Cricetulus griseus: one gene and its partner. The protein of the gene in region 1 interacts with the protein of each later gene in a pairwise test. Links are inferred from orthologs where the notes say so. Each region holds a gene or a part of one and is shown on either strand. Other genes may lie near its edges.

Region 1 (3,822 bases):
TCAGATCATGGGACAAAAGACTTTCTCTAATATGGCTTCATGTCTACTCTATAAATGATCCTTTGGGAATGTTTCCAATCACTGATGATGACATAAAGATAAATGAACACAGCTAGGTGTCTGCTTGGAGCTCCTTGGCACACGACAAGGGAGGTCTGGGAGTCTTGAACCCAGACCCACAGCAGTGGTTGAATGGAAAAGAGGAAAGCCAACGAGGTAGGTGACAGGGTAGCCAAAGGAATTTATTACTAAGAAATGTTATAGGGGCTATAGAAATGCCTTAGCAATTTAGAACACTTGCTGCTCATTCACAGAGCACTTCTCTAACTCTAGTTCAGGGGATCCGATACGTTCTTTGGGCCTGTGTGGGTACCAGGCATGCACATGGTGTACATATATACATGAGAGCAAAACACCCATACACATCAATTTTTAAAAATAAAAAGTTACACATTCAGCTTGACAGGAGACAAGGAAACAGACAGTAGCATCCTCAAGCCATAGTTTATTTTCCATTTAGCTACCACCTGATACCACACCTATGTTGTAATAAGAAGCATAGCACTGAGGTCTCAGGAACTGTGGCTGCTGCCTCTGTCTGTACTGTACACATATACCTGGCTTTGGACGTGCTCCTTGACCTTCTACCCCTCTCTCTGGAATGAGATCGTCTCCGTCTTGGACTTTTGGATCTCCTCCTACTTCTGGACTTGGAGTGTGACCGCCTCCTTGATCGGCTTCGTGACCGCCTAAAAATGTAAAAGTATTATGTGTGCATGCAGAATGCACAAAGCACCCACCTCGGAGGTATGAGCTCAGTACCAAGCACTGAAGAAAAACTGGCCTTCACTCAGCTGCGGTTGTCATGTAGCCCAAGTGAGGTCTAGGCCTCAGCAATGACTAGCGAGTGTGTTCATGCGCATGCACTCTCTGCTTGTGAATGACTGTGACAGCCGATGCTCATGCACTCCAAATTGATGCTAGAAGACTCCACAACAAAAACATCATTTTCCAAGAAGCAACAGATATAGGTATTCTAAACTGAGTATGTGAAGGATGTTTTCTTGAAGATGAACAAAGCATATTACCCCCTTAAGGAAAACAAATCCGTTGCCAATAATAAAATCTGGCTTCCCAGAGCGGGTAAAATGTGAAAACCTGATGCTGCTAGGTAAAAGTTTTGTGATGAAATCTGAGGCTGATATCAAATGCTATTTCATAGAATTGGGTAGCAACCAGAAATAATCAAATTCGGGCAATTTATCAAAGAATAGTGATTATAACTGCCTGAAAATATTAATGTTAACTCCCTTTTCTAAGCCATGAGCCTCAGTTTTAAAATAGGTGTGAACAAGGCTGATCGTGATCAAAATAAATTGTATGAAACTCCCAAAGAACAAAAATATCTTAAAAACACGTGAGCCAAACAAGCATGGTGATGTGGTCTTTAATTCCAGCACTTGGAAGAAGCAGGTGGACCTTTGAGTTTGAGGGTAGCCTGGTCTACGTGACGAGTTTCAGACCACCCAAGGCTAAGTACCGAGACCCTATGCAAAACAACAGCCCCTTCCTCTTCTGAGAAAACAACAAAAGTGAACAAGAATATAGTGTAAAAATTTGAATGTGAAACCCCATTATTTCTACTGGGCTAAAACTTTAGATTGGTGAAGTACAACAAACCCCCTTTCACCATCAGGTGTTTTGGGGGTAGTTAAGGTTTTCATTTTTTTGCAAAGCTCTGTAAATGAGATAGGCTGGCAACTATGACAGCCTCAATTTGTAATATTGTTAGATATAACCACATAAGCTAAAGTATATTGTCTTTATTTTTTACAGCATAAAAGCTAGAGTTCTAAGTTTGGAGGGATATCCACTGTGCTACAGAGAACAAACAGTACATATTCACAAAAGAGTAGGTATAACTAATGTGAGAGACGAGAACAGATTTAGCTTTAACTTTTGCTACACAGACAGCAATACTACTAACAACTTCATGTTGTATGTGTTTCATACAACTATGGCATTTTAGTGTTTAAGTTCCAAAGCTTTCCTACCATTGAAGAGTCTTTAACCGTTTTGCTAAGTAGGAAGCACCTGTTCATGTTATACCTTCCTCCTAATATACCCAAGGCAACTTTAACACTCCCAGCAATGATTAATGATTAGGCCCACTTTATATAGGAGACTGCTAACCTGTGTCTGGAGGATGAGGGGGTCCTCCTCCTCCTCGAGCGCGACCTTGATCTTGAATGTCTTCTCTTTTCTTCTTTCTTGTCTGGATTTAAAAGAAAAGGAACTTGTACTACTAAGCATTTATGTCAAAATTGGAATCCAAAGCCATGACTCCTTCACCTGCCACTGTACCTCAGTGACTTTAGGAAGCCAGCTTTTCTCTGATGCATTTCCATTCCTCTGCTACCATTTTTAATTGTAGTTTTAAAATGAAACTGTCTCACTTCCAACATTCCAAATTTCTTTCTTCAGGACCTAAGCAGCATGCCACTGCCCTTTTCACATGCTCACAATCACCAATGTGATGCCACCAATTAAGTTAGGTCATTTCATTCACAGGCTTTACTTTACATAACCACAGAATTCATTATATGCAAAGCACCGTCATTTCAGCCTCAGTTTTTAACAGAAGGAGTTAGAGTATAGAAACTCTAGAGAACTCAGAACTCAGATCTACATTTGAGACAACCTGACATCTTACCAGATGATAGACTTAAAGTACTTGTTACCAGCTTTTTTTTTTTAAACTAAAAATTACTTTCTAAATAATAAATAAGAACAATAGTTCCACTTACTAAGGATTAAGAGTAAAAACAAAATGAATCAAACACTTAATTGGGAAAATGTGCTTCATTACCACAGATTCACATACATATAACAAACATAACTGGGGCAATCATTTAATCAATCTCAAAAGAACAATCTATCTAGAGCTAGTTTAGTGGTGATGTACCTGTGTTAGTATTTATTCATCTGTATTGGCCTGCCTTTGGACTTCTGACAGGATATGCCCTCAGCTGCTGCCAGTAAGGCCACCACTTGTACCTATTCACTATGTTCCTTTTTAAAAAGGCCCTGCCCAGCTCCCACCACCCTTCCTCTCTGGCACTGCTCCTGTCCCAGGAAGCCAGTCTCCCCACTTCCCCTTTTACAATCCTTTTCCTTTAATAAAAACAAAACAAAACAAAACAAAACAAAACAAAAACCCTGATTGATTGAACTCTGTCATCTGATTTTCTCTCTCCAGCAGCTCTTCTTTTTTAAATTACAACAACTTGCTTAGCATCCACAAGCCTCCAGGTTTCTTCTCGGCAACTCCTACCACACACCCAAAAGAATATGATTGAAAACTATTAAATGATTTGTCTCTCAGAATACAGAAAGTCTTAAAACAACAACAACAACAACAACAACAACAAAATACCCAAGAATGTTATTCAACAACTTCTACATTTAAGCCATTACCAGGTTACCAAGAACCACAATTCAACATTCAAGGAAAATGTGTATGAGCATATTACCTGGCTCAATAGCGGCAGAAATCAGGGACTGGGCCTCACGCACTCTTTTCATGGCTTCCTCTATTTCTTTACTAGAGGTGTCTGATTTCAGACTTGGTGAAACAAGACCAGCAGCTACATGATTCAATCTAAACAAACAATTGAGAATAGAAATAGTTTAAAATTTACCTTTTAGAAAGCTGCATTTGGGGAGAAACTGAGGCAGTGACCAACAGTTCACAAAGTTGCACATGAAATCCTGACCACAAAGGTTAAGGATCTGCCTTTAAGTGTTTACACATGCAAGAAA
Region 2 (3,622 bases), on another chromosome or scaffold:
AGTTCCCTACTCAAGGTTCTGACTCCAAGGCCTGTTCCTTTATCTTGGGGAGATTACATAGTGTTTGGGGTGTTAAAAACCCACTAGCACCCAGCCAGGGCTTTCTCATCCATGCAATCAGAAGGACTGAACAAGGACAAGAAAGGGGATGGAAGGAATCTCTCACCACATGATTTGATCATCACATGATTTGATGTTGTTTAGCCTTGTGCCCACAAGGACCTCCTGGAATACTCTGAAGTAGCCCCCAGTGTGGTATGTGTCCCCTACCTGGGGGATGCTGAATTGAATTAAATACTATTCTTGATTAGATATCATTCATCTTTTCTATCTCTGCCCTTCTAAATTCTGTCACCTGGCAGTTCTTCCCAGAAAGAGGGGAGGTGAAAAAAGGAATTGAGGATACTGACTCTATCCTAGTCAAAGGTGGTAGAGGAAGCATCAGGTTAAGATACCTCCAGAGCAAGGGCAGCTGGGTAATGACAGATGTTCTCCCTCCTGCAGAGGATTTCAGTCTCCATGTCTACAGTGTGCTGAGGTGAAGAAGTCTAGTTTGGTCCCATCCACAGCCCGGAGCTCCCCCATCAAAGAGTGCTCCCGTAGCTCCTCCTACACCAGCACTCGATCCTCCAGTCCCTCTTCCCGGTCCCCAAACCACAGAGCTTCCCCCAGGTATACCCGGAGCCGGTCCACCTCCTCTGAAAAAAGGTGAGTATGTCTTTGCAACGTTTGACCTGCTGTATGTCAAGTCAGGCTTGACATTGAATATCTGCTCCAGCCATTGCTACTGACAATCTTGGGAAAGACAGTCAACATCTCTGAGCTCCTGTTTTCTTCTGTGAAAAATAAAAATAATAGGAATGCAGTGGCTCAGTGGCCCAGTGGCTCATTCCTAGGGTGCAAGCACTTAGAACACAAGGAGCATTGACTGTTATTGCTTGTGTTGGCATGAGGATGAGGTATCAATTAACTTCTTCTGCATAAAAAGTAACCAACATCATCATTCACATAAAATGCATTTACTTGGTCTCTGTAACTCTGTGGATTAACAATTTATGCTGGGCTCAGCTGGCTGGTTCTGTCCTCAGCCCCCTCATGTGTTTTTGACCAGATGGTGAGTAGGCTGGGGGCTGGGAATTGAAAGCCATCCAATGATTAGTTGTCTCTGCTCTGTGTTGTCTCTCATCAGCTAGCAGGCCTATCTGCTTGTACACAAGGTAATGACAAGGAAAGAAAAGGAGGGAGGGATATATATATACAAGGTACAAGGCTTCCTTACTTCTCAGCGTTAAGTAACATTCCATCCCTCCTGCTATTTTATTAGCCACAGTAAGTCATAAGACCCAGAAAATTCTCCCTTAGTGAGAGGAGTTACAGAGTTACATTTCAGGGGTTATGCAAGATAGAGAGAAGAAGTGCAACTGTTTTTGTATTTTATCTCCCAATCTCAATAGCCATTGGTATTGTTTGGTTACCTTGTATAGTAACCTGGTAAAGCTCCTTTTTTAAAACATACAGACAGGAGATCTCAGGAACTGGAATAGCCCATCTAACCCAACCCTCACGGTCTCCTTGAGCCCAGCTTCCCTCTTTAAACAAAAAATTCAAACAGCAAGTTGATTGTTCCTCTTCCTCAACCATATAATAAAAATTCAGTTGCTTCCTTGCTTGGTAATTTCAAAACCAGCACTTACTTATGTTTTTTTTTTTCTATAAGATTTCTCAGTGCTAATGCAAAGAGCAAACTGGCAGGACACTTGGTGGGGGAACAACTGCACTCAATAAGAATGAGTTATTCCTTCCCCCATAATATTCTCCAAGAGCTGGATGGATCATCAGTAGTGAAAGAGGGAGAGTAAGTGTGAACAACAGGGCTAGTAATTGAGATGCATCCCCAAGAGGTGCTCTCTCCCTCTTGTCCAATGGAGGTATGGTTCTTGATCCCCAGTGGATGCCTGTAGCCAAACCCTTGGATACGTACCAAACCCTATAACAACACTGTCCATCTCCCTTTGTGACTAGAGCACGCATCATGCACTATGATGCAAGTATTTTCAATGTGAGTGAGGTGTTGTAGCAAAATTAACATGAGCTCTGCTCTCCTTCTGTTTCCTGGAGATCTCTGTTCTTGCCACATATCTTAGTACACTCTGCCTCTGGGTTTTTTTTTTTTTTTTTTTTCCTTTCTTTCTTATTGAATGGAGAATGCATACACTCACTTAGTGTAAGCATGTCACTGCTTCTTTCTGACATGTATGAGTTAGTAGAATCACTACTCTCTTGTGGACCATTTTTAAGTAAATAAGGATTGCTTACACATATTTACTATGATCCTGTGATCACAAGAAGGCTACTTAGTAACAGGCAAGTAGCCTATGCAGCATGGAAACTCTGCACAAAGAAACAATCCACTTCCTAGGTAGGGTAAAACAGGACAACAGCACTTTTCCCATGCTACTCTGGATGGTTTGAAATGTTAAACTTATGAATTACTTGTTTATAGAATTTTCCACGTCTTAATGTTTTTAATCCATTCACGAAGCCATATAAAGACAAAATCATGGGTGGGGGGATGGGACTGTCATAATCTGAAGAAGTCAAAAGTTCTTTGCAGCCAGACACTCTTGGATTCATGTGTCCACTAGCTGTGTGACACTGATAAAATTCCATTGTCTGTCTGTGTCTTTGAAATTAGTAACAGTTCCAACCCTAGGATATGTTGAAGATTAAGTAAGACACATGCACTTTCAAAAAAGTTCAATGCCTGGCACATAATAAAACGTATAATAGTCATAGCTAATGTCTCCAGTGTAGCGGCTAATTGGCACTTAGTATATATACCAGTATTATCAGTGGTTTGCTCTAATTTGGATTCACAGCCAACTTTGTAAGGTTGGTACTACTACCCCATTTTGCAGATCAGAAAACAGAAGCCAAGAGTAATGGAATCATGTGTCCAAGACATCACAAAGAAAAAGTGGCCAGGACAATAAGCATTCAGTAAATAACAGGGGGTTGTTCGTATTATTATTAATTAATATTAATCAAAAAGGAGAGGATTTCATTCTCTGGTTCCCGGCCAGGGTCCTTTACGAAAAGGAAAGGAGCGCCACCTGGGGGCCAGGTGCATAGAGGCTTAGCCGTCTGCACAACCCTAACGCAGGTCTTCAGGGCCTCTTCCCTCTTCCCCAGGTCCTACTCTCGCTCTCCCAGCTATTCTTCCAAATCTGGCAAAAGGAGCCCGCCCAGCAGAAGTTCTAGGTCTCGTCGCAGTCCCAGCTATTCTCGCTACAGCCCCAGCAGGTATCGTATCTTCCCACCCGCCACCCCACCCCCAGGATGGATCCTGCCTCCTGGGCCACACTGCTTTACTCAGACCCTAAATTCTGGCCTTGCCTCTTTGTACCAGTCTCCCAAACCCTGCCCAATTCCTGGCGTTGGAGAGGTGGGGACGGGAATTCTTGCAGTCCTTTTTGTCCAATCGAGAGTGACAACAAGGCCCAATACACGCTTTGACCTACTGCCCTTTCACACCCACAGGCTCCATCTCCCTGCACACTGTTTCCTCTCGCCCCTGCACTCACAGCCCCAATTCTTGCCCACCCCAGAGCCTCTGATATGG

The links.
Region 2: the proteins of Srsf11 (region 1) and Srrm4 interact in binary tests that used the Homo sapiens proteins (3 or more experiments, as listed by UniProt). The link is inferred for Cricetulus griseus from reciprocal best matches to the Homo sapiens genes SRSF11 and SRRM4.

Annotation. Positions count from the first base shown.
Region 1 is NW_023276806.1:1,639,341-1,643,162, reverse strand, and holds part of Srsf11 (serine/arginine-rich splicing factor 11), read right to left. Parts: intron 3,662-3,822; coding exon 3,534-3,661; intron 2,276-3,533; coding exon 2,194-2,275; intron 750-2,193; coding exon 618-749; intron 1-617. UniProt on the Homo sapiens protein: May function in pre-mRNA splicing.
Region 2 is NC_048597.1:96,498,832-96,502,453, reverse strand, and holds part of Srrm4 (serine/arginine repetitive matrix protein 4), read left to right. Parts: intron 1-504; coding exon 505-708; intron 709-3,192; coding exon 3,193-3,303; intron 3,304-3,622. UniProt on the Homo sapiens protein: Splicing factor specifically required for neural cell differentiation.